Caenorhabditis elegans: one gene and its partners. The protein of the gene in region 1 purifies or fractionates together with the protein of each later gene. This does not show direct contact. Each region holds a gene or a part of one and is shown on either strand. Other genes may lie near its edges.

The links.
Region 2: the proteins of lbp-7 (region 1) and marb-1 fractionate together in Caenorhabditis elegans (co-fractionation; one large-scale study listed by BioGRID). This does not show direct contact.
Region 3: the proteins of lbp-7 (region 1) and F33H2.6 fractionate together in Caenorhabditis elegans (co-fractionation; one large-scale study listed by BioGRID). This does not show direct contact.
Region 4: the proteins of lbp-7 (region 1) and Y26E6A.3 fractionate together in Caenorhabditis elegans (co-fractionation; one large-scale study listed by BioGRID). This does not show direct contact.

Annotation. Positions count from the first base shown.
Region 1 is NC_003283.11:13,874,727-13,882,794, reverse strand, and holds lbp-7 (Fatty acid-binding protein homolog 7), read right to left. Parts: upstream 3,244-8,068; 5' UTR 3,240-3,243; coding exon 3,027-3,239; intron 2,882-3,026; coding exon 2,681-2,881; 3' UTR 2,582-2,680; downstream 1-2,581. Other genes in the region: T22G5.3 (F-box associated domain-containing protein), read right to left, coding at 809-1,387, 1,527-1,754, 1,803-1,879; T22G5.1 (GP-PDE domain-containing protein), read right to left, coding at 4,846-4,984, 5,033-5,510, 5,598-5,958; cpt-5 (Choline/carnitine acyltransferase domain-containing protein), read right to left, coding at 6,970-7,200, 7,248-7,436, 7,484-7,618, 7,667-8,068.
Region 2 is NC_003282.8:12,204,989-12,212,863, reverse strand, and holds marb-1 (Isochorismatase domain-containing protein 1), read left to right. Parts: upstream 1-3,853; 5' UTR 3,854-3,856; coding exon 3,857-3,936; intron 3,937-3,993; coding exon 3,994-4,171; intron 4,172-4,222; coding exon 4,223-4,564; 3' UTR 4,565-4,676; downstream 4,677-7,875. Other genes in the region: phy-2 (Prolyl 4-hydroxylase subunit alpha-2), read left to right, coding at 271-324, 562-627, 1,325-1,423, 1,470-1,652; F35G2.3 (uncharacterized protein), read right to left, coding at 2,127-2,276, 2,323-2,607, 3,070-3,156; F35G2.1 (Sulfhydryl oxidase), read right to left, coding at 5,629-5,706, 5,751-6,314, 6,371-6,436, 6,877-7,459, 7,508-7,626.
Region 3 is NC_003279.8:15,011,180-15,019,918, reverse strand, and holds F33H2.6 (Regulator of microtubule dynamics protein 1), read left to right. Parts: upstream 1-3,323; 5' UTR 3,324-3,339; coding exon 3,340-3,608; intron 3,609-3,667; coding exon 3,668-3,844; intron 3,845-4,000; coding exon 4,001-4,137; intron 4,138-4,498; coding exon 4,499-4,629; intron 4,630-4,805; coding exon 4,806-4,997; 3' UTR 4,998-5,065; downstream 5,066-8,739. Other genes in the region: dog-1 (Helicase ATP-binding domain-containing protein), read left to right, coding at 1-163, 601-689, 947-1,402, 2,218-2,446; pole-1 (DNA polymerase epsilon catalytic subunit), read left to right, coding at 6,045-6,085, 6,130-6,768, 6,821-7,151, 7,200-7,819, 7,867-8,113, 8,160-8,262, 8,330-8,674, 8,721-8,739.
Region 4 is NC_003284.9:13,904,690-13,913,364, reverse strand, and holds Y26E6A.3 (Methyltransferase-like 26), read left to right. Parts: upstream 1-3,414; 5' UTR 3,415-3,478; coding exon 3,479-3,559; intron 3,560-3,636; coding exon 3,637-3,771; intron 3,772-4,052; coding exon 4,053-4,139; intron 4,140-4,187; coding exon 4,188-4,256; intron 4,257-4,428; coding exon 4,429-4,590; intron 4,591-4,711; coding exon 4,712-4,792; 3' UTR 4,793-4,994; downstream 4,995-8,675. Other genes in the region: Y26E6A.2 (F-box domain-containing protein), read left to right, coding at 396-854, 993-1,451, 1,817-2,140.

The DNA of each region.
Region 1 (8,068 bases):
ATTTTCTAGAAACTTCTGGAACATTGCAGACATTTCTCGATTTTTCTCAGAAATTGGAATTTTCCGCCAAAATTGTTTTTCACTGAAAATTTGAATTTCCCGCCAAAATTTTTTTCACAGAAAATTTTAATTTCCCGCCCAAATTTTTTCACTGAAAATTTGAATTTCCCGCTAAAATTTTTTTCACTGAAAATTTGAATTTCCCGCCAAAATTTTTTTCACTGAAAATTTGAATTTCCCGCCAAAATTTTTTTTCACTGAAAATTTGAATTTCCCGCCAAAATTTTTTTCACTGAAAATTTGAATTTCCCGCCAAAATTTTTTTTTACTGAAAATTTGAATTTCCCGCTAAAATTTTTTTCACTGAAAATTTGAATTTCCCGCCAACATTTTGGGTCTCACCACGATTGGTCTCACCACGAAGGGTCTCACCACGAAAGGTCTCACCACGATTGGTATCACCACGAAGGGTCTCACCACGAAGGGTCTCACCACGATGGGTATCACCACGAAGGGTGCCACGCCCACTATTCTCACTGAAATTTGGGCGTGACGTCACAGACTACAAAGACTACATAGACTACAAACTCCGGACAGACGAACTGTATTTTTTTATATATAGTTAATGATATTATAGAAATTAAACATTTTTGTAAATTTAAATTCTTGAAAATTAAAAATAAAATTCTTCAAAGGTTTCTGACTGAATTTACTGGACATTGAACAAAAAACTTGGAGTTTTGAAAATTCCTAGGGTTGCTGTAGATTTGAGCCTCTAGAATGTTTAGAATAAAACTTGACAACTTACAAATCTTGTTTTCTTTGAACGTCCTCCGCATTTTTAGTTTGAATTCCATCAAGAATTTTATCCAAATCAGGATCTTCGATTTCAATTTTGAAGGATTCCAATTTTGTATCAGCTCCATCCAACCATTTTTTGATATAAGCATTCAGATCGTTGTTAGTTAATTTGGTTTTATCAATCACCAAATTTTGGCAGTTAGTATTCAAAAGATCCTGTCGAGTAAACCACGGTGCAGAACATATTTCAAGATTATCATGATTGAACTCCAATTGAATTGAATTTTGGTTTTCATAGTTGAAAAAGTTTAAAGTAAGTTTTTTCTTGGGAAGAATTTTCACTTTGAATAGATGAAACTCTTTGTCCGTCAAACGAAAGTATGTGATGAATGTCAAATCGTCGACTTGGTTGAGTCTATCCCAAGCAATGAAATTGCAAATATCGTCGGTTTCCTCTCGGCTGATGTAGACATTTAATTGATTCGGTTTGAAAATGTCAAGCATTACTTCTGCAATCTTAATGCAGGCAATTCTGTCGTTGTCACAATATGATTCTATCACGTATTTATCTCGAAGTTGATGACGGCTGAAAAAAAAACCCTGAATAATTTTCCGAACGTAAAACAATCAAATATTTTGACAGATCAAAAAAAAAAGTTATTTCGTAATTGTTTTAGGCCCCCCTTTCTGCCATTGAAACTTGAATGAATAATTAAAGAACTCACCGATTCTTGATTTCCATATTGTCAATCACAAAACTATCGATTTTCCGTTTTGAACCTTTTAGGGGCTTGCTTGACTTGTGAATCTTCCAATAGATGTTCCTTTTCTTTGTGAACTGTACATCTATTAAGCAATAATCCTCATAAATATTTAGCCAAATGAAGTTTATAGGCTTTTTGAACATTTTCACATGATTTCTTGATTTATCGGAGGATAGAGCCAAATTTAATCTACAAAATTTTTAATTATTTGAGCCTGAAAAGAATTCTGAGACTTACAGTGCCATTTCATTTGTTTTTAGAACTGTGTCTTTCAGTGTGACGTACGGGAGATGGAACAGTGGAAATGCGGGCATTTCTGAAAAAAGGGAGTTTGATGGATAGAACACAACGGACAGAAAATAATAAGTAAGAACGACGAGCATGAATAAGAACTGGAAAACCTAACATATAGATCGCCACACCATACTCATAAACGCTTCCAGAGAGATATTTGCTATTGAATAGAGGTCATAAAACGTAGAAAATAAGTCGATTTATCTAAAAACGATGCGTATTCAAACATTTGGTATAGTATACCTATTTGAATTGAGGTGAACTGAAGCAAAAAGATTAAATGAGAGAGTTGATGCAGTTATACAAGAATTTTCTTGTAGGAAAAAAACAGAGAAATAGTATTTTTAATTTTTGAAAGTTAGTTCACGTTTTATTGTTCAAAATTCGAAGACGTTTTGGGGTACAACTACCTTATTTGAACCATAAAAGACCGTTGGGCGTAGAGACAAAATTACTAAAAATTAAGTTCATCCACACACCTTTTTGTAAAAAAAAGAACATGTACCCCTTGCCATCTCTTTCTCCACAGAGCGCCGTTGCTGTATGTTTCTCTGCTGCCTCCTAATTTCTATGTTATTTCAGTGTTTCATGTGGGGAAGGCTAGGGTCACAGTTGCAGTTATGCGCGCGAAAATATATTAATCGAATTGGCTTTTCGAACTGCGAATATTGAAATTCTCAGATTCTGATGGATTAGTTGTATTGTTTTAATTTTCCAAAAATAGATCCAAAATGTTTTATTTGAATGAAAAACTATTTAAAAAAACCAATTTCAAAGTGCATAATTCAAAGTGCTCATAACTGCATGATTTTAAAAATAAATTATTCTCTCTCCCACTCGCGACGGCAAATGACATCTCCAGATTGATAGGTTTGAATGAGTTTTCCGTTTTCAAGCCATGTTGTCAGAACTGAACTTTTGTGATTCTCCTTGATCTTGTTCTGACGATGAGTCAGTTTTCCGTTTTCAAAAGTGAACAGAGAGTTGTAGGTACGATCATCTGGACTGTTCTCAACGAATTCCTGAAACACAAATGTATTTCTCATTTTAAAACGATATACTATTTCAATAGACACATTTGCTTTACACACACTTCTCACTTTCTTATCAGTTGATTTTTAAAAAGATTAACTCTACTCTAGTCCTTTTCAAAATTTTGCAACTAACCTCTCCTAACTTGAAAGACAATTTCGTGTTCTTGAATGTTGAGAATTGATCAAAGTTCCATGTCTCTCCATCCAATCGGATTTCCAATATTGGCTTCAAATGAGCAGCAGCCTTTCTTGTGATGAGCCCGACTCCGATTTCCTTCATGTATTCATCAAAGTTCTCGGTTTGGACCAACTTCCATCGTCCGATAAAGTCATTCATAGATGCCATGGTTCTGGAAAAAATAACTAGAATAAAAAAATATTAAAATAATAAATAGGGCACAAATTCAGAAGCTGATATGTTTCTTAAATAAACATGTGAGAAGCATAGAAGCTGATAAGCTTGGGGTGAAAACGTGGAACGATTATGATAAGAGTTTAATGATTCAACGAGTGACAGAGAACAAAGAAATTAATACAAAAAATGAAGTTCGTTGAAACTTTAAAATAAAACTCGACCATTCTTGCAAACCACAGAAGTCAAGTTTTCACAACGATTGCAAATATCAGAAAGGAAATTTGAAAATGTGATTAAAAACTGAAGTTGCCATAGTGAAATGAAATTTCTTGATTATGCTGTGTGCTACTAGTAAACTGCCAACGAATTCACATTGCTTGTAGAAGAGAACCTGGTGAGTATAATCCTTTTGTCCTTTTCACTCAAACGTTCAATTACCAAAACGATTATAGGTGAATTTCCAAATTTCAAAAGTATTTTACATAAACGGAAATCGTTATATTTGAAAATTAAAAGATGAGATTGGGTATTGTAATTTGAACATATTTCTTGAATAGTCGTGAGTTAAATGTTGCTTTAATAGTATAGAACTAAAAGAGTTAAGCTGCAATTTTTTACAAAAAATAGAAGGGTTGTATTCGAAAATGAAATAAAATTATACCATGAAAATTATGAAATTAAATTGATAAAATGTTCAAAATAATAATCTTCGATAAAATTCGTATTTCTCTCTGAATAAAAAAGTCTTGCCTAATGAAAGTGCCATCGTTTAAATCCATTTAAATAGAGACGAGGTTTTGTGTCAATAACTAATAGTACATATGCATTTTAAAGGAATTTTGTGATTTTTTGTGACAGTAGCCTAGAGAAAAGTCTGAAAGGGTTTACCAAATCACAAAACTAAAATTCAATTCAATTAAAAATTATTGTGATTTACTGAGAGATACTGCAAGCTTGTTGGAGCTGTACCATCATTTTTATATGATATTTCATTTCTAACTCGGAAAACAAAACTACGTTGAAAAATGCCATTCTAAAAAAAGTCATTAACCGCTGCTTGATGAGGTGTGTGATGAACAACTAATGATGGAAGAAATTTGATAAGGGAACAGAAGAATGAAGAGTGTGTAGCGTAAATCAGGAATTGTGGTGTAACGAGATACTGTGTTGATGTCTTGTTCAAAGACAAACGCCATTTGAACAAACCACAATAGAATATTATCAATTTGATCATGTGGCTGATGTTTGGAAAGTACGAACGATTCAAGTCCGAATCAAGTTTGGAACAATAGTTGAATTAACCATGGCAAACTGAAAAATTGGGTTAAATGTTGTTTCCGAATTTAATAAATGCTAAAGTGCTAGTTTTTTGCAAAAATAATAAACTCTCATCAATCTACATAGTGCAGAAAAAAGCCTTCAAAAAATCAAAAGTCTGTAAAAATCCATTTTTTGGCCATTTTACTGGTCTCGAAAAAATTGAAAGTTGCATTAAAACAAACATTTTTTCAGTTCGAAATGCATTAAAATTAAACAATTAAGCTGTAACCGTGTTTATTCTTTCAAAAAACTGATACTGATGCGTTGTTTTCCCGTATTAGTGTGGAACGGTGCCAACATTGTCGGTAAGGAACGGAACTTTAAGATAATCACGAAGCCAAACTTGTTCGTATTGATTGTTACTGGTCCATCCGGCAAGGTAAATGTTGTTGGCTGCTGCATCGGTTTTTAGGAACCTTAAAAAAGATATTCATTGTGGTCGCTAGACTGTTTTTCAAAATTACCTGCTGATATCGCTAACGTGATAGAAAATCACATCGGATCCGAGGAATTTCGGAATTATCAACGAACGAGCCAAACCAAATGCGAGAACGTCAAGGACACTAGCGACAGCGTGAAGGGTTCCAGTGAATCGTGGAGTCGTCGCTGCTTCATCAGTTGTACTCAACTCCCAACTTCTCCATGTGAACCCTGTCAAAATCTTTGGATCCGCCATTTTCACAAGATATGTGTCAATCGGATTGAATCCAGACACAAGAACCTTGGAGTAAAGGTTGTAAGTTCTGATTTGAATGACAAACTGTTTGAGCAAGTTTTCATCAACATTCTTCACATCCCAAATCATCATGATGTTGTTGGCAACACAGTGAGCAACGGCTTCTTCGAAAGTTGGAAGGGAAACATTTGTGCCAATGAATCGGAGTTTACGGAATTCAGTTATATTCATTGCAGAAATTTCTTTGTCAACTCCGGTTACGCGGACTGTAATTTATAATGTTTAGTTTTAATAATCTCCAAACATCTGTACATCGGTGACTGCATTAAAATAATGTGTCAGCTACACCTCACCTGTGTTACTGTCATGACAAATGACTGGAACGCCATCCATGGTAATTTGGATATCCATTTCAGCCAGTTGTCCTCCTTCACTTTTCACTGCACTAAATGCTTCCAGACTGTTTTCCGGAATGTTGTCATGAGCACTTCCTCGATGTCCACCAATCTTCCACGTATCAAAGAATTGAGTTTTGTGAGTTTCGTTGATAAGTTGTGGGATGCGGAAGATGAAAAAAGCAAGCATGATTGCAATGGGAAGGAAGGCAAGAAGAAGGATCAGGAGACGAATGGTCTTGAATTTTAGAGCAAGAAGTGTCAAGAGATAGAAAAAGGCAGCGATGATTACCCAAGCAAGGAAAGTGAGATAGTCCATTTTGGCCTGAAAAACTTAGATTTTAGTCAGTGTATGTAAAGGTTGCAAGTGGAAATCTTTAAAAAATGAACTGTGAAGCTCATAAAATGTTTTTCAATTATATACCGGTTCGCTTCTCTTTGTTATGCATATTATGGGAATCAAAATTGAAAAGAAGAACACCAATAGAACTGTCTGTCACGTATTTCAATCCAGGAAGAAAAAAAGTGATTAAAGATCTTCTTGATATTGAACTTTTTGAACTAATACTTCACTCTAATTGTAAGTAATTTTTTTGCGTTTGCAATCTTTTTATTTGTAGCTTTTTTTGGGAAACCAAATGTTTTCCAAAAGCTCGCTTACATGCTTAATTATTATGATTCGGTATTGAAAATCTGTGAAATATGTTTCCAATTTTCTTTAAGAAGATTTTTTGTTTCTGTATTTGGAACTCACAATTTATGAAGATTATGTGACTCTCGAGTATTAAACCTTGTGAACCTTTTCATAGATTTACAAATTTTGTGAAATTTTTCAAGCATTTTCAGTTTTCAACTGCTTGGTTTACGACCCTTTTACTTTACCCTCAATTTGTATTTTTTCTATCTATGTACCTCACACGGGTATATAATTGTATAAATTGTACTTCCGGATTTCCAACCCAATTTTATACAATCTTATTCGGAACAACCAAATTTCGTTTACCATTTCGTGAACTAATTTTCGAGAATATATTTTCAGTCATAGGTTTCAGTTTTTGTATTCAATTTCTGAATTAATTGTTTTGAAGTGTTTCATGTTGCTCATGTATGCTCAAAACACAAATTTCTTGATTTTAAAGATGTTTGAACTTTTCAGTCACCTTCTTGAGGCAGCTACGTAACAGCTCTTTGTTCGTATTCGTCTTTATCTTTCTATTGTTATTAAAAGCTTGAGAAAAAATGTCTTTGTTAAAAGTCAACTGAACGCGATGAACTTTTTTATTTTTTCTGTCCTAAAAAGAATAACAACTTTGTTTGAAAAAAAAACAGTTTAAAATAAATCAACCAAACTATGAAATGCTTCTCTCAACCGATTTCCCATTCTATCCGAATCTGTGACTTCTGATGAATGATACGAAGTAATATGAACAAGAATTGCTTGATTTCCTCCGAATCGGTAACAGATTCCGTACCCATCTTGTGCTACAGCTCCAAATGAACCACCAAGCATTATCTTGTCAATTGAAGAATCTTCATCAATCGAGTTTGTCATATTGGGAATCTGGAAAAATATCTACATATTTGCGAAAAATAATTCGGAAAACATACATTACTGGTACTCAGAAGCCACTTCTGACTTTGGAAGAAATTGAGGAATGGACTTTCGTATCCAAGTCCTTTTGCAAGAACACATAGTACAAATAGATGACGATCAAATCCATTTCCTAGCATGATTTCTTTACAGTTATTCACATGAACTTCACAAGCTTCTTTCAATAACTTCCTGCGGGAGGCTATCTGAAAATCAAAATTTTATCGAATTGAACATATTTTTGTATACGTACATCAGATTTATCCGAGAGCATGGCTTCAACAAATTCACAAGACGCTTTTGTTACTGGTCTCAAAGTTTCTGTTCTTGAATTTGCGTAGAATCTAATTGAACCTGGTTCATATGTTTGAGTGAACTTTCCTTGATCCTAAAAATGAAGATAAGTTTGTTAATAATCTTTAAAATTAAAGCCTGCTTTGTAATAAGCCAACTGAATTGCCATTTGGACAAATCCATCTGGAGAAATTCCACATTCCTTTAATTTTCCTTTTCCAAAATCCAAAAACACCATGGAATGCATATGAAGATCGTTGAACGATTTTGTGTGAGCTTCATAGCATCTTTCAATTTCTGATTCCATTCCATCAACTATTTCAAAATCAAGTTTTTCTGCCAATTTCAATGATTTCAAATCTTGCTCAGTGACAGTCGCAATCTCCAATTGTTCTTCTTTGCTCGGGGACTTCAAGATTTGTTTGTCAATGTTCAAGAAATTCTCGCAAAGGTGGTCTAACTCAGCTCCATCGCAAGGAGAGTGTTCTCCAGTAGCCCCACCTCTTCCCGTCTCGTCAACAGCATAGTTCATAGTTTTATCAAA
Region 2 (7,875 bases), on another chromosome or scaffold:
TTCAAAGACAAAACTCGAAGAATTCTTGAAATTCTAAAAATCGAAAAATCGTTTAAAATTTCCATTTTTAGATATTTTCGTTTTTTTACAAAAAATTGAAAATTCCTTGTGTCCATTTTTGAGTTTTCTAGGCTAGTCACATCAGCAAAAAGGTCTAAAATGCCTTCAATGCCTACAGCCTAGAATATAGGCATTAGAGGATTCCCCAAGTTTTACTAAAAATATTAATTAAAGTTTATAATATTTTCAACAAAATTGTTGCTGTTTCAGGTAGCTAACTACGGTCTTGGAGGTCACTACGACCCACATTTCGACTTTGCCCGGGTAATAACAATTTTCAATTCTTTTTTATAATTTCAGATTGCAAATTACGGTCTCGGTGGTCACTATGAACCACATTACGACATGTCACTGGTTGGTTTACTGCCTTCCTGCTGACTTGTCTTGCTGCTAATTTTCAGAGAAAAACTGCCGAATCGTACGGTGGAAATGGTAATCGTATTGCCACTGTGTTATTCTATGTGAGTTTTCGATTCAATTTTAATTTTCCGTATTTTATAGAAAGAAGAGAAGAATGCATTCAAGACGCTCAATACTGGAAACCGAATTGCGACTGTTTTATTCTATGTGAGACATGTTTCATTTATAATTAATGGTTAATAAGATTCCATCACGAACTTTTTATTTGCATGAAAATTCTTTAGCTGTTATTGCATGAGGTGTGCTAATCCAAAAGTATGTGATGGAATCTTAACGTTTGAACTTTTAAATTTGTGATTTTAGCGCGTGGGAGCTGTGAGAAAACGGAAAATTTTTAAGGGGTCTTAAAATTTTACTGTTGATATTTAAAAATGAGGTTTTATAGTTTTTTGGCTCTATCGAACAATTTTTATTATTTAATCTAATAATTATCTTCTTTTTATGATTGTTTAGCTGAAACTGATGTATTTTCTAATGCCTACTTCTGGAAATTCGATAAATTCGAAACTGAAAATAACAATATCAAAATTTACTTTAAACTCAAAGAGCAAAAATCGTTCAAAATATAGTCAAACATTCACTCTCAAGATTTTGATTTTTTTGAAATTTTCAAACTTATTGGGTTCATAATTTTTACAAATAAATAGATGAAAAAATAGTAATATTTGAAAAGTTTACAAACTGATGTTTATATCCTTTTGGTACTGACCTAAATTACGAGAAAAGTGTGTGTGACGTCACATTTTACAGACGCGAAAACCCGACAGTTACTGTAGATCAAACACATTGTCAGATAACTAGAACGAACCCTCTGTTTCTCCTTGAACCAAACAATTTTTTTCAGATGAGTCAACCAGAACGCGGAGGAGCAACCGTCTTCAATCATCTTGGAACTGCTGTATTCCCATCGAAAAATGATGCTCTCTTCTGGTATAATCTTAGAGTAAGTGTTCATTTCTATTTTTCCTCGCAATTTGGAAATATTTCAGAGAGATGGAGAAGGAGATCTTCGTACCCGTCATGCTGCTTGTCCAGTTCTTCTAGGAGTTAAATGGGTCTCAAATAAATGGATTCACGAGAAAGGACAAGAATTCACAAGACCATGTGGATTGGAGGAGGAAGTTCAGGAGAACTTTATTGGAGATTTGTCCCCATATGCCAATGATCCATAGATTTGATTTTTTACTCTCTTTTTTGTTTTTTTTTTTAATTTCATTGTTGCTTACTGGTGTTTCACGGTTCCAATATTTTATTTGATCGCCAAAAAATGAAAGTGTTCTGGTTTTAAAGAATGAGTTTTTGATATTCTGAAATCTAAATTCAAAGCTGTTTATGCCTGCTTCATGCCTGCCTACATCAAACCTACATCAAACCAAGATTATAGTCATGTCTACTTCATGACTATAATCTTGCCTATCTATGTTCCTACCTATTCAAAATATAGTCCAACATTTAAAAATCCTGTGAAAAAATCACGGTTGTGGCTTGGATTAAAAATGATTCGATTCAAATCAGCATAAATATCTCCCTACGTGCCTGCCTGCCAACAACTCTAACAAACATGTAATTGTACCTGATACATACAGTTTTTCCTTGCCATACTTTATTAAGTTAATCAAAAATTATTTCAAAATTATATGGACAAATTAAATATTATTAACTTTAAAAAGACTTTTAATTTTATTATTTTCCTTATTTTCTTCTTCACTTCCTTGCAACGCACTCTTTAAGTCATTCTGGAAATTTGTTTTGTTGAACTCGATCTCGAATTTAAGCAGTTCAATCATTTCGTTTTTCTGAAATTATAGTTTTAAAATTTAATTCCATGTAAGAAATCCGAACCTCTTTAATAATCTTTCTGGCTTGTACCAAATCATCAACCAACTCATTTGCATCTTCCTCCGCAAATTCCAATGATTCCAGTTTTTGGCTCAATTCCTTTATCACCTCGTTTCGCTCTTTCAGTTTTCTCTGAAGTCCACCAATTTTTGCCACAAAATCTCTTTGATGCATTCGAATTTTGATTAAATGATTGCTGATTTTACTTCTCTCTATTTTCATCTCCTTCTGGTGCTCTTTAATCATTTCCTCACTAGACTCGCACATTAATTTTAGTTGGTAATGAGCCTGCAAACGTTGTATATAAAAAAGAATGTCAAGATGCCTGCCTACATGCCTGCCTACCACCTAGCTCTATACATTTTGGCATGCATTCAGGAATTTAGTGAACCTCTAGAAAGTAAAACTGGGAAAATTTCCAAAGAAAATTTAGTTAATTTTCACCAAATTTTCGAAAGTTTTTTTTTTTAAAGTCAAACATTTTCCAATAAAATATTTCGCATTTTTTTCAAAAAAAACACATTTTCCCAAAAAAAATTCGATCCGTTCTACTGTCTATTTTAAAATTTAATAAATCTTCTCAGCTTTAAACACCTCTTAATTTTTTATGAGGGGCTCCAATAAATAGCTTGAGGGGAACACGATTATTGGAATTTACTTTTGAAATTGAGAAATTTTCAGACTCTCGAGAATTTCATTGATAATGCTAATAAAATATTCAAAAATATAAAAAAAAACAACAAAATTTACCTTTGCCTTTTCCTCAACTATTTGCAACATTAACAGAGCTACAGTAACCGCGTACAGTAACCCGAATAGAATCGGGAAATTATCCATTGAAAGTGTCATATTCCCGTCTTGAAAGATATTAGTTAACCACGACATTATAAAATAAAAAGATTGTCTTATAAGATAAGTAACAAACGAATGAATGAGCCGGTCGTCTTAGTCAACGGGTCAAGTGTTTCAGCCGCGTTCGTGAATCAATAAGAGCTGGAATTGCCTCCTGGCATTAGTGACTGTAGTCCACACTTTCTACTGCCTAAATTATCCATACAGGGCAATGTGATCAATTGATCAATAGGTTATTAAATATAACTATTTTATGCAGTGCAGTGTTTCATCCTTTTGGGAAAATTCACGGAATCAACAGGTGAATTTATGTTTTTTAGGGTGTGAACACAAATTGTTAATGTTATAATTGTCCTGGAGAGCCTTTAAACATTTTACAATTAATATATTATAAATAATACGTAGAAAATCAGTATTTGAACAGGAAAGTAGACATTTTAAAAATTTGAAATTTGAAAAACCGCCACAAACTCAAGCAACGACACTCCGAGATTACGAATCGCGCGTTGTTTACCGTAAATTTACACTAATTTTTGTTCTCTGAAATTTTTTTTTAATTGAAAAGCCGTCCATTTATTTATCTTTTTTTGTCAAATCCTTGTGTTTTACGTGGATGTTTGCATTTGTTTTTTATTTATTTAATTTCGAATCACTCAACTTTTTATTGATTTCTGTTCCTCAGGTGATGGCTGCGCGTAAGCTGATCGCACGTATCAACCCAACGAACAGTGCTCTTTTCGTCTGTGATCTTCAAGAGAAGTTCGCGTAAGTTTTGAAAGAAACTAGTTTATGAGCAAAAATAATTTATTTAATTATTTTCAGGTCAAATATCAAATACTTCCCAGAAATCATTACAACTTCGCGTAGATTGATCGATGCTGCCAGAATCCTGAGTATTCCAACCATTGTTACTGAACAATATCCAAAGGGTCTCGGACACACAGTTCCAACTCTCAAAGAAGGTCTCGCCGAGAATACTCCGATCTTTGATAAGACGAAAGTAGATTTTCAGATTTTTGTTCATAATTCAGTCTTATTCCAAAAATTTCAGTTTTCCATGTGCATTCCTCCAACTGAAGACACTTTGAAGAAAGTTCAAAATGTGATCCTTGTCGGAATCGAAGCACACGTATGCGTTCTTCAAACTACATACGATCTTTTGGAACGTGGCTTGAACGTTCATGTCGTGGTGGACGCTGTCAGCAGCCGCAGTCACACTGATCGTCATTTCGCTTTCAAACAGATGGAACAAGCTGGAGCTATCTTGACAACTTCTGAAGCTACCATTCTCGGACTTGTCGGTGGATCGGATCATCCAAAGTTCAAGGAAGTTCAGAAGTTGATCCTTACTTCAGCCCCTGATACTGGCCTCGTCCCGTTGTCGAAGCTCTAAATGTTTTCCGTTTACGGCTTCTTTTTTTGCCATGTAGATTTGTGTTTAGTACCTCACTATGTGTAATTACAGCATTTAACCGGTTTTCGTCCCATAAATTATGGTGGTAATTTGAGTCTTTTTGCAAAACGTTTCTTTCATCGCATCTCCTTGCCACCGTTTGACCATCACATCATGTTTCAAAAGTGTGGGTAAACATTCCGAAATTCGCGGAAACGAAATGCGCTTTGAAAATTTCAAGTGGCTCACACAGTAGAGCCCGCTAGTCCATTGACCTCCAATGTTTGTAGTTTGCGAAAATGATGGTGACGATGGTGCAAAGAAAACTTTCAGTTTTTTTTTTCAGAAAAGTCAGGTTTGTACAACACACATGCCACCACGTGGCAATGAAAAAGGCAGAGGCAACAAATAAATTGGAAGCAGAGACAATAAAATGGGTGGGTGATCTGATCTGTTGTGACGAACAAAATGATGATGATTGGATTCGCGAGCTGTTGATGAAATATGCAGAAATGAATCGAGAAAAAGAGAAGAAAAATACCCAAATATTCAAACAGACAGACGAAAAAAATGTTTTCCTGATTCGAGGAACGTGTTTTCTAAGTGGAACGACGGCAAAATATGGGTTGGTCAGAACGAGAGAATGAAGAAGCACAAAGTGAATATAGTATGGGTGATGTGGAAGGGGGTATGCAAAATTGGAGAGAGAAATGGAACCCGCATCAATGTAATACAAATTGTGTGTGTGGTCAGGAATCATGATGGGAATCTAGTGGGGGAAATGAATTAAAAACTTGGACAAAAAAAACATCTAATCGATCGAAATCTGGAAAAAAGAAAATAACAACTGATCGGGATTGAAGACGAGTAAAAAGGGGTCGAATGATAGGAAGTATCAGGTGAAAGTATATGTTCGAGGTAAAAAAGTCGTTTCTTGTTATAAATTGGGGGAGAACGAGCTAGGATTGCAGGCATTCTAGAAGGCATCTTGAACTTATATAAATACGAAGGAGATTATTTACATCATTATATAAGTCTTTTGAAGACTATTAAAATAAGTTCGTTCAGAAGGCGAGACGTTGATCTGCCAGTCGATTATGTGGTTTGATGCTTCCATAATAGCGGAGTAGGAAGTTCCTTATCTGAAAAAAAAATTATATTTTTCAGAAATGCCAAAAAAACAAACCTGCCGCCGCGAAAACTGTCCTCCAGAATGACACGTTGGACATAAGAAAGGTGCTGGGAACTGCATTTTCGTGAATTGTGGATCTTCTGTCGAGTCACCATGCAACCGATTGTTGACAATATTATGAGCTCTCCAGAGATACGTCATCATATCGTGTGGATGACGAACTCGTCGTTCATTCAATGGGAACAGTGTCGTCGTCATATGCATGAAATGATTACGACAGTGTTCACATCCGAAATAGCTCTTCACCCATCCCTGAATTGTGCTCAGTGGTTTCATTGGATTCACATAGTCATCTTTGATTGTATCAATATATGTGTGAACAGTAAGAGCGTGGAACGTTGTCCATAGACCACATGTGTATCCACGATACATTGGAGATGATCCTTTACAGTGTTGCCATGTCGAATTGACTGGGAATGGGCTGGCGTAGACACGTTCCACACTTTCGAATTGTCGACGATATTCATCAGATGAGACAGAACCAATTGATTTGCGACCTTCGAGGAATTCGCGCATGTGTGTGAACACAAGACGAGCTCTCTCAGAATTACGAAGAATCTGAAAAATATTTAAATTTATTCTTGGAAATTATTTTCAATCAAAAGTTTACTCACCACAGACGTTGTTCTCTTCGCGCGCATTCTTCTGATGTCATTTTGGAAGGAAAGAACCGGGAAGTGCTGAAAAATGTCGAGATAAAATATTTTTTGTAAATTTTTATAGCATCCAAAGCCAGGGTGTTGGTTTTTCGATTTTTCACGAAAATAGGAATTTTCGTTTTTTCCAATATTTCGAAAAAATTTCGATTTTTCTGAAAATTGGAAAAATTATATCTTATGTTTTTTCTGATCAAAATAAACGAAATTCGATAAACTTTTTATTGTTTTGTTGAAAAAACTTTTTTTCAGAGAAAATCCTCAAACTATTAATAATTGAAAATTAAAAAATTTCGATTTTTCTGAAAATTGGGAAATCTGAAATTTTCGATTTTATGTTCAATTTTTGGATTTTCTTTGAAAACTATTAAAAAAATGTCGTTTTTCGATTTTTTTCTTTTAAAAAACCCGAAAAAAAAATCTCGATCTTGTCTAAATCTGTCTTCATCTAAAAAAATACGTACATTTGATAAAAGAGTCATAAACTCGTGCAAATTGGTGAAGTTATCGCCTCGGATTGCTCCTGGAACTCGGGTGACCTCGTCGAGAAGAGCCATACGCATTGCTTTGAGCATATCAGTCTCAGAAACATAATACATATCACGACACCGTTCTGGATGTGAGTGACAATCGATAAGTGGAGTATTAGTGGTTGTTGTAACTGGAGCCAACGTCGTCGTCAGAATTGGTGCACGTCTTCCACCTTGTTCCATATCATTTGTGATAGCATCATCAATATCTTTTACAGTTTGATTTGTGTATCTTTGCATGTAGAGTGCTTGTTGATGGTCTCTTCTGAACAGTGCAACAGTTGGGAAATTGCGAATATTGAGCATCTGAACGAGTGGTGAATTCGAAAGTGCACGGCGGGCACCAAGAATGTGACTTCGGGAGATAAGATCCATAACGAATTGAGCACCAACTCCATCATACTCTTCAAATAGAATTGCCATATAGTTTGCTTTTTGTGGAACTCCATCCCAAAGTTGTCCATAAGTGGTACGGCTGTCGACGGCAATGTGTCCAAGGTTTGGCCAATCAGGATATCTGAAAAAAATCAATATTTAGTAAATAATTGTATTTAACACAAAAAACCTGTTGAACATGTACTCGTTGCTAACTGTTCGTAGCAAAGCATCTCGAATCTGTTCAGCAGAATGTGGCGTCTCAAACAGTTTTCCTTGAGTCGCTGTTGTGGCCGTCCTTGCGAAGTACTGTAAGAATTATGAATTTTCTTCAATTATTTTAATTTGCAAAATCTTGACACATTTTTTTCTTGTTTTAAAGTGCGAACAGTCCCCCCATTGCTCGCCTTGTATCTCCAATAGAAAAAAGAACGAACAAACGCGCAGCACAATTGCCTCTTCTCAGATTTCAATTTAAAAAAACGTCTTTCGGTCTCCTTGTTCAAGAGGGCGATTCACGTCAATCCGGTGGTGAGAAAACAAATAATCGATTGCGGG
Region 3 (8,739 bases), on another chromosome or scaffold:
TTTCTTCGACGCATTCAACGAAACACGTTCTATAGTCCTCGCATCGGGTACTCTGTGCCCAATGGACACTTTGAAAACCGAATTAGGAATGGAATTCAAGCAACAAGTAGAAGGAGATCAAGTCATTAATAAGGATAACATTTTCGCAGCGGTTTTGCCAATTGTAAGGAAAACATTTGGTTAGGTAGCGTCGTGTGGTGCCCTGAGAATTACCGAACGAATGAAATTTATTTCTTAAAGAGATGACAGGGCACGTGTTGTCAGACAGTCTCATTGCAGGCTGATCTACAAAACATGCGGGAATTTTACCCCAGAAAAATGTGACGTCAACACACTCTTCATCATGCGAAATCAGTTGAAAAGTCTGCGTCTCTTCTCATTTCTCGAAGATCAAACCAAAATGAGGCAGGAATTAGGATTTAAAATTTTTGATGCAAATTTATGTTAATTTACTTAGCATTAATGCTAGCATTGAAAAAGTATGTCATTCGTCCTATAAGTCTCCGGCTAGCATACAAGGTTTATTTTCGAAAATACGGTCTAAAAACTACCAAAATAAAAAGGAAAGCCTTATTAATTTAATTGATTTAAAAATTCCAGGGTCCCTTTGGAAATCGCATTCAGTGCACGTACCGCAACACGTCAGATCCGGAATCTTCATTTTATTGCGAGCTTGGAGCAATTATCAAGTACGTTGGCGGATTATTTTTCGAATTTTCTACTTTCAGAGAGACTTGAAAAAAATGAATAGATTTTCAACAAAAATGTCAAATTTTGTTTAGGTTATTTAAATCAAGACTTGTTTAAAACAAATATAATTTCTGAAAATTCAAATCGGAAAACTTAGTTTTTGTCTAATTTTTTATAAAAAGTTACAAAAGCCTTGAAAAATGTTCCAATTGTTGGAAAATTTTCGAATGTTAAGAAATCAGCTCATTTTTTGCAGGTATGTATGCAGTAACGTGCCAGCAGGAATTCTATGTTTTCTCCCCAGCTATCGAGTTCTAGATCAATTAAAACAATGTATGATCCGTAATTCAACAATGCGACAAATCGAAATGAAAAAAGTTGTGCTCTACGAGCCGCGAAGATCCTCAGAATTAACATCAGTAATGGATCAATTCGATGCGGCGATCTTCGATCCGTCTAGATTCGGTGCAAACATCAACGGATCTCTTATGTTTGCCGTTTTTCGTGGAAAAGTTTCCGAGGGCATTGATTTTGCCGATGATCGTGCGCGTGTGGTGATTTCTGTCGGAATTCCGTATCCAAATGCGATGGATGATCAAGTGAATGCGAAAAAGTTGTATAATGATCAGAATTCCAAGGAAAAGGGGATTTTGACTGGCGATGAGTGGTATACCACGCAGGCCTATCGAGCATTGAATCAGGCTTTGGGAAGGTGAATATATATACAAAGCCGCGTGGAATAAAAACTACGTTTTTTTTATTTAAAAAATGTTATGCTATGCTACAAATGTTCAAAACACAGCAATTTTCTACTGTAACACATAATTCTGAAATTTGCGCAACATTTTTGACGCACAAAATATCTCGTAGCGAAGACTACAGTAATCCTTTAAATGACTACCGTAGTGCTTGTGTCGATTTACGGGCTCGATTTTCGAATTTCCTAATCGAATTTTGACAGCAGTATTTAATTTGTCTTTTTTTTTCTGTATTGTTTTGTCATTTTTGTGTTAAAAAAAAATATTTAAATGAAAAACGTCCAATATTGCCTTATAGGAAACTCATACAATCGTATTTTTACATTATTTTCCGTCTATTGCCGGGTTTCACCTGGAAAACCTGCAATAGACGGGAAATAATGTAAAAATACGTTTGTAAATAGGAGTTTCCTCATCAAAATGAAGGCAATATTACACGTTTTTTTCTATTAAAACAGTTGGTTAATGAATAAAATTTTTTTAAGTACAAAAATGACTAAACAATACGAACAACGAAGGAAAATTGAATATCACTGTCCAAATTCGAAAATAAAATCGAGCCCGTAAATCGGCATAAGCGCTACTTTTAAAGAAATACTGTAATTTTCGCTGCGAGATATTTTGCGAGTCAAATATGTTGTAAAATACGCATTCTCAGGATTTAGTGTTCCCGTAATATCAAATCTATAATATCACGTGAAATAAGGGAATCAGTAGAAAAACCATCTGGCCAAATTTCACTACAATCTAAAATTCATTAAATCTTCAGATGTCTCCGGCACAAAAACGACTGGGGAGCAATGCTAATGATCGATGAACGCCTAGAACGTCAAACTGGAAATCTTGTGGGCGGAGCCTCGTCTGCTCGTGTCTCAAAATGGATTCGTGCTCAACTGAAAAGCTATCCGAGTTTTAAAGAATTTAATGCGAATTTTCGCGAATTCATCCAGCGTCGACACGCTGTTGAGAAAGCAAAAAAAGAGAATTTTTGTGAATGAATTAAACTTTTTCTAACTTTTTTTTTTCGATTAAAACCCCCGCCCCTTATCTTTTTTACGTGTAAAATTTATGATTTTTCCTCATTTTCTTAAACAATTTTTAGACGTCTTTTTTAAAAGTTAGAATCTCCCTAATGCATTGTTTTTACCCCTTTTTTCAAATCGATTTTCATAAAGCTTGGCCGAACTTTTTCTCTCTTCTCTCATTATCACTTATCAGTGTTTACCTTTACACCACTTGTACTTTGAACTGTGAAATGCTGACAACATTATAGCGTTCTCAGTAGCCTACGAGAATTTTTCTAAAACTTGCCTGGAACCAGTTTGAACGCAAAATTTTTCCCTTTCGAGTGTTCAAAATTAATTTTCAAATTTTCATTTTGTTCGAAAAAGGTTTTGGCGTATGACTCTTTCCGAATATCTTTGTGAAATTAAAAAAAAACTTCTCGGATTTAATATTTCAGCTTGAAATCTCGCACCCAAAACTTAACGCGCCAGAGGCAGTCTCATTGGGGCGCACCGTGCTGTGTCGATTTACGGGATTTTTCACCATCTGTCATGTTTTTTCAAAAACTTTTTTTTTGGTTATTATTTGGAAAATTGTTTTTTCCGTGTCAATTGAACATTTTATTATATCCAAATCACAACTCGATGAAAATCCGAATTTTCGAAAAAAAAAACGATAAATTTAAGGCTTTTTTAGTTTAAAAAATTTAAAGATATTCGGAATTAGGGGGTTGGAATAATTCAGTGAATGCGTCTTTGAGTATGAGTTTTTTGAAAAATTACCTATGTACTTGGAAAAAGGCCATCGAAATTAATAATATATTTTTGTTTCAATATTTATAATTTATTTAAAATTGTCTAATTTTTGCAGCCTCTGAAGAAAAAAAATGTTCAAACGAGTATTCAATCTCCGTTTTATTTCGAATTTCTCTCGCCGCCCGACATCTTCTCCAAAACTTCCGAAATTAATTGCAATCACTGGTGGAACCTCGCTTGGAATCGCATTTTTTGGAAAAACTGAAGAGAACAAGAATTTGGACTCAGGAAATGGACAATTAATTGATGGAAAACCGAAAAATTTCGATTTAATTGTTCGAAATTCGGATGAACTTTATGATAATTATCTAATCGATAATTGTTATAATATTTTGAAAAAGTGAATTTTCAATTAACTTTTAGAAATGTCCATTTTAACTTTTCTTTCCAATTTTTAAGATTTGAAAATTCCAATTGCTCCGAGCTTCTATGGCGTCTGGCACGTGTGGTTTGTGAGAAAGGAAAACTCTCAAAAGATCAAAATCAACGAAAAGAGCTCATTTTGGAAGCCTATGGAATTGTGAAAAAAGCTCTTGACAATGAGCCAAAGAATGGATGCTTTGGAGCACATAAATGGTACGATTTGGAGTTAAAACGCTATTTATTCCGGGTAGAACAACACAATTTTGCGAGAAAAAAAAACTATGACTGAGGGTGGAAATCGAAAACTGAGCACCTGCCTTTTTTGGCGGCTGAGTTTTAGCATTTTCTATGCCACATGGCTATCTTTAGGTATGCCATTCTACTGGATTACGTTGGAGAGATCGAGGGAAACAAATCGAGAATCGAAAAATCATTCCAAGTGCGGAAACATTTAGAGAAGGCGTTATCGATTTTCGAGAACGATCCAACAACGTGGCATATTTTGGGTAAGGGATTCCGGATTGAACAGAGAAAAAAAAAGAAAAATCATGTTAGAATTTATTCACGTGGAGTCAGACGGTCCCTTTTCGCTTTGATCTACGAAACATGCGGGAGGTGAGACGTAGACATCTCAACTGATTTCGCATGGTTAACAGTGTGCTTACGTCACAAATTTTCTGGGAAAAAATTCCCGCATTTTTTGTAGATCAAACCGCAATGAGACTTTCTGACACCCCGTGTTTATTCCGAATTAAAGCTCTACAGCTCACCGTTCAATCAACGGGGGCGGGCGGTGCTTAACCATTATTTTTTTTAGATATTTCTGCATTTCGCTTCGAGAATTAAAAAGAAAACCTCAAATTTCAGGAGTCTGGCACTTTTCCTTCGCCAATATGGGTTACGCGACTCGAATGGTGGCCAAAGCTATTTTCGCAACTCCACCAGCATCCACATATCAGGAGGCTCTACACTATTTCCTAAAGGCTGAACAGATTTCGGTAAAAAAATATCAGAATTCAAACACTTTTAGTGAATCTCTCATAGTCAATCAAAAACATACAAAAATGAAAAGTTGTCGACCAAATTTTTTTACACTTTGAACATTTTCCTCCACTTGGGAAGTAAATAGTGCCACGAAAAATTCAGATCATTATAGTTAAATTCAAATTTTCAGCCCGGATTCTACAGTACGAATACCTACTACATTGGCGAAGTGTACGAACAACTAGGACAAAAAGCCGAAGCACTTGATGCATTCAAACAATCATTCAAAATGCCAGTTGTGACTTCTGATGACGCGGTTATTCATAAGAAAGCATACGAGAAACTGAAGAAATATGGAGTCAAGGATACTGAAGTTGTTTAGATTGTGAAAAATATGTATTTGTAAGATGATTGTTGTAATTTTTAACAGAATAAAAATATTTATTTGAATTTAATAATTGTCTAATGTCAGCTAAATAATATTGTCGGAAATGAGGCACCACGGTTTCAAGATCTGGTGAAATTCCGGATCTACGTTTTCCGGAAATACGATTTCCGGATCTACGTTTTCCGAATCTAGCACCGTGCCAACCCACAAAACGCTTTTTTATTCACTCGACGCACGTTGTTTTTTGAAAATTTCTTCTAGAAGAAACGCTTAACAACACGCGACGCTTAACAACGGAGCATCGTTGTCACGTTTTTCTCCGAGAAAAATAGCGTTTTAAGAGTTGGCCAGATCCGGAAAACGTAGATCCGGAAATGGTAGATCCGGAAAACGGAGATCCGGAATTTTACCAGATCTTGATACCGTGGTGCGAGGCACCACGTTTTCAAGATCTGTTCAAAAACAAGATCTACGAAAACAAGATCCACCAAAACAAGATCTACGTTTTCAGGATCTGGCACCGTGCCAACTGCGGTTTTCTCGAAGAAAACGAAACAACGATGCTCCGATGTTACGTTCGCGTGTTGTTTAGCGTTCAAACGAATATTTTTTGAAATTTTCTTCTAGAATTTACGCAACACGCGTACGCACGCGTAGAGAAAACCGCAGTTGGCACGGTGCCAGATCCTGAAAACGTAGATCTTGTTTTGGTAGATCTTGAAAAGGTAGATTTTGTTTTGGTGGATCTTGTTTTCGTAGATCTTGTTTTTGAACAAATCTTGAAAACGTGGTGCCTCCGTGGTGCCTCTCGGAAATTCAATTGTATTGCTTTAAAATTCAAATTCTGCTCCTTCCCTCCATTTTATGATCTGGTGGCCTAGAATTCCACCCAACTCGTCCTCTGGCCGAGCGCGCGAAATCTTGCATTTTAAACTCGATTTCCCATGAAATTAACTTAAATTTGCCATTTTATCTAGTTTTTTCTTTAGTTATTTGATTTTCAGTATTTTCAGACAAGTTCGGTCATCGCCAGCAAGCTCAATGAGCTCCAAGGATGACATTCTTGCACAGGCGGTCGAAAAGTTTGTTTCAAGAATGGAGAAAGTATAAAATCTTCTTTTTTTAGTGATTCAAACTACAAAGAGCGGCTTGCCCTGATCAGATCAAATGATGAGATTGATGCGAAGCTTGGTTTCTCTAGATACACAGGACTACAGGAGAAAAAAGGATTTCTGATAAACATCCAACCTTCGGAGCTTGTCGACGAGCAAACCAAAGTTATTATTTCGGTCGTTGACTATTTCTTCATCAGTGATATGGACGAACGCTTCAAAATCAGTTACCCATTTCGACCGTATTTCTATATTGCCACGTTGGATGGATTTGAATTCCAAGTATCCAGTTATCTGTCCAAGAAGTACGGAGCCCAGACAGCAGTTGAACATATGGATCGGGAGGATTTAGATTTGAAAGATCATCTTTCTGGGTTGAAGAAGACATATATCAAACTCTCATTCACCAGCACCGTGGAATTGATAAAAATCCGTAAGGAATTAATGCCGCTGGTGCGGAAAAACACAGATCGCATCAAAAAAGAGTCGGCGTACGCTGACTATTTGGCGAGGAATCTGAGTGGAAAAGGAGGAGATAGTAAGGATCAACAGTTGAATGGTGACATCTTGAATCAAATTGTTGATATCAGAGAATACGACGTGCCTTTTCACATGAGAGTTTCCATCGATGAAAAGATCTTCGTCGGATTATGGTTGGAATCATCCTTTTCTTCTTTTTTAAATTCTAAATTTATAAATTTCCAGGTACGATGTGAAAGGAATTGGCCCGAACCGTGTTCCAACAATAAAGCGAAAAGATTTGCCCTTGTTCCACGCAAAGCCGAAAGTTCTCGCCTTTGACATTGAAACAACGAAACTTCCGTTGAAATTTCCGGATCGTGAGAGCGATGAAATTATGATGATATCATATATGGTTGATGGACGTGGATTTTTGATTATCAACCGAGAAATCGTGTCGGCTGATATTAATGCGTTCGAATACACACCGAAAGCCGAGTACATAGGAGAATTCACAGTCTGGAATGAGAAGGACGAAGCTGCTCTGATTCGGAAATTTTTCGATCATTTTTTGCAGGTAAATTCTACTTTTAAACTGAATTTGATTAGAATCATTTTCTTGCAGGTTCGTCCAAATATTGTTGTCACCTACAATGGAGATTTCTTCGATTGGCCATTCGTAGAAGCTCGTGCCAAGATCCGCGGATTCAATATGGAAAGGGAAATCGGATTTTCTAAGGATTCCGCCGATGAGTACAAATCACGAAATTGTATTCATATGGACGCTTTCCGATGGGTCAAACGTGACTCATATCTACCGGTTGGAAGTCAGAATCTGAAGGCAGTGACGAAGGCAAAGCTGAGATATGATCCAGTTGAGGTGGAGCCGGAACTGATGTGCAAAATGGCTCGAGAGCAGCCTCAACAGCTGGCCAATTACTCGGTTTCGGATGCAGTGTCCACTTATTATCTCTACATGAAGTATGTTCATCAATTTATCTTCGCTTTGTGCACAATTATCCCACTAGGAGCAGATGACGTGTTGAGAAAAGGATCTGGAACACTTTGTGAAGCTCTTCTGATGGTTGAAGCATTCCATAACAATATTGTGTTCCCGAACAAGTACACTGGACCAGAGGAGACAAGATTCAGTAAAGATGGACATCGTGTTGAGAGCGAGACCTATGTCGGAGGACACGTGGAAGCTCTGGAGGCCGGCGTATTCAGAGCGGATATTCCAGCAAAGTAAATTCAGGATTCATTTGAAAGCGAGAAAATAACGATTTTTTCAGATTCCGGCTTTCCGTTCCTGCTCTTGAGCAATTAAAATCCGAGATTCAAGAGACCCTTCGCAAGGAGCTGGCTCGAGAGTTTGAGGTCACTCTTGACCAGGTCGTTGACTTTGATGAGCAGTGCGCTGAAGTTCAAGATGCATTTGATGGAATGATAAATGTGCCAACACGCCTCGAGAATCCACGTATCTACCATTTGGACGTCGGGGCCATGTACCCCAACATCATTTTGACTAATCGATTGCAGGTTAAGATTTGGACTGATATATATTTAACTATTCTCTGATTTTCAGCCATGTGCGATGGTCACCGAGGAGATTTGCATGGGATGCTCCTACAACAAACCAGACGCAGAATGCAAGAGGACGATGGCTTGGGAATGGAGGGGAGAGCTGAGTACGGAATAATGATTTTATATTTATTGAAAGCCCAAGCAAATCTAGCCCAAATCTGAAATTTTCAGCACCAGCCACTCGAGGAGAATACCAGCAAATTATGCAGCAACTCGAAGCAGAATCGTTTGGAAAACCACCGAAACACTTTCATATGCTCGAGAGATCGGAGCGAGAAGCCATCGAAATGAAGCGTATCAAAGATTACAGCAGGCGTGTCTACGGAAAGACTCATTTGACAAGATTAGAAATGAGAGAAACTACAATTTGTCAACGGGAGAATCATTTCTACGTGGAAACTGTAAAAGCGTTCCGTGATAGAAGATACGAGTACAAGGATATGTTGAAAAAGGCGAAAGGACGATTCGATCAAGCCCAGGCGACAAATGATCTTGCAACTATGACTACATCTAAGTGTATGTGGTTATATTTACATTTTTAGTTAAAAACAACATTTTTCAGTGGAAATGGTGCTCTACGA
Region 4 (8,675 bases), on another chromosome or scaffold:
TTGGTTTATTCTCAATGCCTATAATTATTAAAAATTTTATGTCTACTCCATATTCTCCTGTTTCTTTTTCTACTGGTCGCATGAAAACACAAGTTAGTAGAATATGCTATTGATGAACATTTTTATGAGGTTTTCATATTACATTATTAGCTGTTTTTGTGTGGCTGGTCTTAGCTTTTCTGGCGTGTAAGAAAGTTCCAGTTTAGTCTTAAACAATACACATAGTACATACACATATATCCCTCTACATTTATTTTAAAAATTACTGAGAGTGAACTAGAATGAAACACGTAGAAATCCCACTTACATGCAAATATATGTACTTCCAATAAACTTTTCTTTACTATTAACGAGCGTTCAATATGTTCTAACATTCAATTTTTCAGAAAAAGAACATGGCCGACCTAGACATCCTGGAATTGTTTCGGGCCGTTCCATTCTTCCCCGATGCAAAAGATCGTGTCAACAATGAAATGAACCGTATGAAGGAGGACATGGAGATCCTTCTCAATACATGGACCGTTGAAGAAATCCGTTCAATATTCAACGGGCCCACACGTTATAGGTGCCTAATTGAGCAACTTCAAGGTGAAACTCTAACGGAAAAATGCAGCAGTGCGTTGAGAGTTGGTGGATTCACATTTCTCACTGATGCTATTCATCTCTGCGACTTTACGATGGCAGAGCATCTTAGGCTTACAAAAATGAATGTGTTCTCTCATCTGATCTCTCGTGACAACTTCTTCCGGCCGAAAAGTAAAAATGTGGAAACCAAGCACATCGAGCAAGATGATGTGAAATTGTTCGATCTCTTAAAACTTCCTCCGGAGATGATAGAGCAGATCATGCAACGAGTAAGTTTTCAATTCTGGGAAAATACTTCTAAAAATAAAAAAATCTGAATCTCTCCTTTTCAAAAAAACAACGTTAAACACTTTTTGAGCAGATGCACTTCCAACCGGATGATTCCTAAGATTAAAAAAAATTTTCAGTCGGCTTACAAAGACGCTCAAAGTCTAGCAATCACGTGCAGTGCTGCCAATAACATTTACCGACAGAATAGTCTGAAAATGGTGCTCCCAGATGTCATTTTGATTCTTGACTTCTCCAGTGGCGAGATGAATGTCCGATGGATATTGGAGAAAAATCAACAAGAAAATGAAAGCGATCCAGACTCTGAAAAATGCTTGAATCAATCCGAAGTCAACGAGAAGAAGAAAACCCAGCTGCTGCGTAACACAACTATTTTAAAAATTGTCACCACTGATGATTTCGAACCGGAATACTGTGAAGCTGTGCACAACTTCGTTGGATCCAGAACATTTAAAAGAATCATTGTCAAGGGTTTCGAGTACACGGAGAATTTGAAAATGATGGTGGAAATGTTTGACAAAGAAGTTGTGGAGATTGAAGTGAACGCACTAACTGACGACTTCATTCCGTTCCCAGATGTGAGTTGTACTTAGAATTTGAGAAAATTTGAATTTTTCGTGTTATGGTTTAAAGAGCGTTCCAAAAAAGTAGGATCATGCAATAAGTTAATAAAAATTCCAATATCCCCTAAAAGTTTTAAATGCAATAACTGAGACGCAATTCAATTTTAAAAGTATAGATTTTTTTTGGCCGACTTCCAATTTTTTTGACCATAATTGCAAACTTTCAAGTTTTTAAAAATAATTTTTTACAATTACATCAAGGCAATTTAGTACTTCATGAGCTGATTTAAATAATTTCCCTACTGAAAATACTCTACATTTTAATTTAAAAATAAATTTAAAATAAACAAGTGTTATGTAGAAGCAATACAAATTTTCAGATCAAAACCATATCCATCCGCGACACTCTCAACAGGGATCACGGAGAACGGCTCTTTTCTGCGAAGCATTTTGTCAACATCAATTGTGCTCTCAACAATATCGACACATTCCGAAAAGCTCTTCGTGATTGGGATAATGGACACCGAGAAGTTGGTAGATGGGTAATTCTGAAACAATTCACCATCTTCCAAACACCCTTTGGTAGACGTCATCGGCCGAAGACTTCCTTCCGAAAGGGGTATTTGGAGTTTATCAGTGAGCTCAACTCATCACAAATGCCACATGGAGAAATAACCGAATACGTTTTTCACGAGACTAATTAACATGATTCTTAGCGAAAATGAAACCAACTAATCTACTTTTATGAGAAAATTATTTATTTCTTACATTCCCTAAAATTTTCTATATAACAATTTTTCTATAGTTTTTTATAACAGTTTTTTGTAATATTTGTTGTCACTAATTCTTGTTCATCTCAAAAACTATTAGACTCCAACCCGGTTTTTTTTTCACACAGCTCATTCCACTTCTAAGTTATTGTTTTGTTTTGTCAAATCTCCAATTCCCAAGCAAATCTATTATCCAGTCATTCATGTTGATGAAACAATAAACTTTGGTACACTTTTTGTAGATTGGTTTTCGTCATGCATTTTCAGTAGTAAAAAAATCTAAAGCGTGATACATTTACCGCAAAGTAACATTTATGGGTTAATACTGTGGTATAACAAAAATGGCCTCAAACAACCAAATATGTACCACCTATAGTATGCCAACCGGCTTAACATGTGCCTAAATCGATTAAAAAACAAGAAGTAAAAATAGAAATATGCCTAATAAGTTTATAATTAGAACAAATTAATTTCAGCGTTCTGCGAGTGCTGATTTCAGATGAATTTGATTTTTTCTTTTGAAATTTTATATATTCGTTTTGAGTTTTGTTTTACTATATAATGTCGAGATTTGATTTTTCTAGGAAATTGATAAAAATATTTAGGTTCAAATTAAAGTATATAAAAAAGCAAGATCTAAAAAAACTCGCAGAAAACGCGCTCTTTTAATTTTTGTCTTATTACTAAAATTTTCAGCTGAATTAGTTTCCATTTAATATTTGAAACCTTTTAAAATACTTCTAAAAGTTGAAAATTATTAAGAAAAACAAAAATTTCACGAAAAACAAAACAAAACATTGATGCCCTACTTTCTCTGGCCTTATACGTGGCAAGGCTTGCAGCTCGCTTTGGCTGGCAGGACACGTGTAACTTTTGCACTCTCATTTTTTTCACAGTTTTGTAAACAAAATCTCTTTTTAGTTTCTTTTTTCTCTCTTTTAACCGTTTTTTTTTGCTATTCCTCTTTTAATCTGCCTTTTGCGCATTTACACTGTACTTAACTTTTTGCCGTTCGTTCGCTCTTCTTCCCATGCATAACACTTGCCATTCCTCCTTTTTTCCCACACAAACAACAACTATCGATTTCTGGTATTCCAATCTTCTGTTGTTTTTTTTTGTTTTCTCTCTTACCAGTCTCTTCATTCTGGTTAGCATCTATCTCAAACTGTTATAAACCCTATAAAAAGTGCGCGCGCGTACCTTTCTCTTTTACCACTGACTGTTTCACATTTTGAATCAAATAACAATTGAACGTAGTTGCAGCGATTGGTGATGTTGAGAGCGCCAGCTGCCGAATCGAACAAGGATGTGATTTTGGAGGTGTTGAGAAGATTCGCAACATCTGGAAAGAAAGTAAGTTTTTAAAAAATGTGTTTCACATTTTTTTAAAATGAAAACATTAACGATATATATATATTTTTTTTTTTCAGGTGTTCGAGCTAGCTTCTGGAACTGGACAGCATATGGAACATTTTGCACGGGCTCTGCCGGATGTCACTTTTCAACCGACTGAAGTTAATGGTCGATACCTCCATTCCATCGTTTCTTATTTGGATCAAAGTCAGGTTAGTCAGCAGTTAGTTGCCCTGCCCAAATTTCCACTTTTCACAATAGCAAAAAAGAGATAATACTTGAATTAAAATGACTGCATTTTTCCACACTCCTGTTGAAAAACCTTTAAAAAATTTTAATTGCCAGCAATTGACAGAATGTTTTAACAAAAAACCACACTCCAGACTGTTGGGGTGAACAATAATTCTAAACTAATTTTTGATTTCTCTTTTTTTACAACTTTTTATGAAAACTCAACTTTATGTTTTTGTAACCATAAAGTAATATTTTTCAGTTTCCAAACGTCCGCATCCCCCTCTTCATCGACGTTGCAAAACCATTCAATCAATGGGCTCTTCCTGCGGATTTCGGACCTCATATGGTAAATTGTTTCCAGACTATATTGGAAAATAACTTCGTTTTTTTTCAGGTCGACATTGTTCTCAATATCAACATGATTCACATTTGCTCCACGGCTGCAGTTAAAGGCCTTTTTCAAGTAAGTTTTTTTTTTTGATAAATGTCAAAGGTGAAATACGAATTTCAAAAATAGTAGGATAAATTTCAATGGGACTGAATTTTTTCTTCAAGTTGCAAATAATTTTGAAATAAAAACAAATTTTATCACATCAAATTCAAACACTTCTGAACTAATTTAACCTTTTTTACAGTCTGCCGACTTGCTTCTTCACGAGACGAACGGAATCCTCATGACTTATGGACCATATGCAGAGGATGGACACATTTCACCACAATCAAACATCGCATTTCATACAAATCTGAAAGCTGAAGATCCGGAACATGGCCTCAAGGATATCAAATATCTGGAGAGGGTAAGGAGATTTTTTTTTAAAGTTAATCTCGGTTTTATTACCATGAAACTGAACGCTTAGTCAGAATTTTTTTCGAGAATTTAAATATAAATTCATAGTTTATAACATATTGAATTTTCAGCTTGCAAACAGTTCGAACCTCCGTCTTGCCGAAAAGATTACAGTTCCGAAGAATAATTTCATTTTGATCTTTTCCCGTTAAACGCTTGTACTTTTTATTTTCAATCTGTTCTCCTGTACTTGTAATACTTGTAATACGCTAGATTTTCAGCGATGCATGGCCTTGATAACTCCTTTTAACTGCAAATAATATTTGCAATATTACGCTCTTTAATATAATATAAAGCATGTTTGATTTCAATATTCTATGATATATGATGATTTTAAAGCATTTTCAAGTGTAATTAATTTCTCCATTTTCAGGTTGAAGTCGATATTAACAGTTGTCTTTTTGAAATGGATTCCAAATTGCTATTTAAAAATTTTATTCAAATATTTTACCTATTGGAAAATAATTACTCTTTTCAAGAAACCATTTTCGAACTTCCTCAAGAAACGTTTCAAGTATTGAAGCAGGTGTTTTGCCACCTTCATGTTATGTTTCTTTGACGCAGTTATTTCTGGTCTAGTGAGCAGAGCCGATTCTTGGTGTTAATGTGAAGTCATTCTATAACAGTGGAACTAGACATTTCAAAAAGAAGTGCGCGGATGTCAAATTAAAAAAAAAACTTAAAAAAAAAAATTTAAAAAAACTCTGGAATTAAGAAAAGATTGACTATATGGGTGATTGTACGGATATTTTAATGCTTTAAGAATATTTGATTGGCATTACAGAAATAGATTTTGTTCGTTCTGCTGAATTTAAAATTGCAGCTGAACCCAGCAGCATCTAAGCACAATTACTAATTTTGCTTGTTTGTATGTTTCGATTTGCTATCACCAAATAGTTTGCGCGTGTGATTTTTATTTTTTTATTTTTAAGCGTTTCATTATTTTTTTTTAAAGTTTTATCATCTATCATTTTGTGACAAGTAAAACTTTGTCTGGTTTATCTGATCTGACCAGAAATCGCACAAACGGGTAATAATCCTTTTAGCTTAAAAGTATGAACATTTCAATGTCGCTCGAGTAAGATCAAAAAATCAATCTAAGAAAAAATAGCGCTCAACAATAAAAAGTATTTTTATATTTATTTACTTCATTTTATTTACGATCAGCTTTTCTTTTAAATTTGAATTTCATTTATTTGTGTGCAAGCTGCTAAAAAAGTTTCTTGATGCATTAAAAAACAATTGATTTCAATATTCATATTACAAGTGCGTGGAAACTTCTGGTTTTTTTTTCAGTTTGTGTGATTTGTAACAAGTATACAACAAATGTTTATAGGCAATTTTCCAGTTAAAACATCTGCTAGGAGATCAACAAAAAGTTCAACAGCCGGAAAATTGGAATTCTTGGTTTCCCAGCGTGATTTGTGTCGAATATTGAAGCTACATTAATGAGCACCTTCGATATTGGAGATGGTAAGTAGTTTTTCTGTGTATTTCTGAATTGATGTTCCAGCTAATTTGTGAAGTTTCGGCAGCTCAAAAACTAAATCCTTCTTTTAAATGTTGTAGCCTACGGGTTTTTTACCGTCTTCGACAAAATTGAGCTATGTCTCATCGGATTCAGAATCATACATCATACATGAATCATACATGAATAAACATCGGTACATAAATACGAATTTTGTGCAAAACCCCAGGCGTTCTGTTTTACACTTATTAGATGTCAAAGTGAAAAGTTCAACCAACCATAAACTTTGGAAAGTGTAAAATTTAAAAAAAAAACGTGTCTATACCCCATCAACTGTATATGAAAGATTCTTACTGATAAAATATCTCATCGTGAAAGGTGAGCTTTCCCTTTTTGTTTGGTTTTTTTTTAGTAGAAAAGTGGTAGCAATTTTGATACACGTCTCATTTGTGACCCAATCACGTTTAATGTGCCTCTATGAAATCTTTGAATATTTGTATTTTTGATTGAGATCAAATTTAGGTATTTTTCAAAGATTGAATTTTCTTACCGTAGTGATGTGGTATTCAAAATGTACTCTTGTAGTATAAAATTTTGTGCTTTGCGGTAATTTCTCTACCAACTTTAGCAACTTTGAAGTTGCCAATCGCAAAAATTGCTGAAGATGGGCAAAGTCTGTTAAGTTGGGGGTTAGCACCTCAGCTGCATCAAAATTAACTCAAATTGCTAGAGTTAGATGAAAAACCGAAGTATTAGTTTTTGACCCTGTTTTGCAGGAATGCAGAATAAGAACTAGTTCAAGATGATTACAAAATTGCAGATGTTTTTTTTTCAAATCACGAAACCACGCGTTAAACGTACATATTGTTTCCATATTTTATGACAATTAACAACTTAGACAACATTTATTTTATTAATCCTGAACGTATTTTAGGTACTTTTCAAACTCGCAATGTTTCATGAATCAGATTTTTCAATGGCTACCAACAATGCAATAGTATATTGTATTCTCACTCTATCAATAAAATCTCAAATTCGAAACAAAATTGAAAAAAAGGTTTTTTATAATGAAGCCTCAAACTGTTTTAGTTAAATAATTTAAGTACATTAGCCAAATAATTTCATTTTCAAACTTTTTTATTTGCATTTTATTGTAAATATTTTAGTGTTGATCAAAAGTAATTACCTGATACGCTTTAATTGTCTCTGCTTTTGTTAGTTCAATTTTACGTTAGCTGTTTTACAAAAAAAAACATAATGATTCATCAACAAAGTTTTTAGCTACACTTGTTCTCACTATCAGATAACTCAAATGTACCAGGTAAATTCCCAAGCCCGTCATTCAAGACAAAACTTTTCATAGTTTCTGAATGTTTTCCCACGTAAGTTGTCTTATCCAAACATCAATTTTTACAAAATTTAGAAAATTTGAAAGCAAACTGATAATTCAGAAAACATACCCAGTTAATATGAGTAGAAAAAAATTCATAAATTGATGTCACTAAAATTTTAGATTGGGCAATTTTTTATTGATCTGTTTATTGTACAAGTCTCAAGAAGACTTCGAAAAATATTTTCTTGAATTCCAATAAAACCCATGATGAGGAATTCTCAACTTTCTTTGTTGTGAAGGTGGCATACTACGTATAAAAGAGACTTTCCCAAAACAAGATTTGATTAATCTTTCTGATTTTCAATTGGAATCTGTTAGTAGATTCAGATACCACATTGGTTTCACCGTCTTCAAAAATATGTTTATCACAAGCGCAACTATTTTTATAGTCACTTCAAAAACTCTGATATACAGTGAAAAACATTCACTCCGGAAATTGATCTAGGTATAATGAATTAAAAAGAAAGGGGCTAGAAAAAACCATTCAGTATATTATAGATTGAATTCACTTCTTTAGAATATCTGATTGTAAATATTTTACTTTTTTCTCCATGACATTAAACATAAAGCACAATGTGCATTCTGTTTTCCTGTATTGAAAAATCACCCGCTTTCTTCTAGTAGTCAGTACATCCCAGAAATTACCCATTTAGAACTTTCACTGACCACATATGTTATTATTTCTTTTTTGCTACCCTAAATATATCGGGCAGAATTTAATCAAATTTTCATAACACACTATTTATTGCAATTTTAAATTGTTGCTGGTTCATGGAACCATAGACAACATAGAGAACATTAAGAAAATATTATTGTCCACTGATTGACTACTGACACTTGTCAGATTTTAATTTTGTTTTGCTGTTTTGATCATTTGAATAATATCAGAAATCAAGGTAAATATGGATCTGGCAAGACTATTTTCCATTGAGAAATAGACCCGTAGGATTGTTAGAGCCAACAAGATTACTTGAAACTGTAACTGTAATTTCCGAATCTTTTTTAAGTTTTTCTACCATTTAATTTCCGGTTTCCGCCCCTTTGAATTTGTTTAAAATAAGAACGATTTTTACTTGGAAATGAGTGTGCTCGTTATTTAAAAAATAATTAAAACATGTGAATTTAAATTTATTTTTAAGGAGACAGAATATTTCCAAGTTACTGAAATTCAATA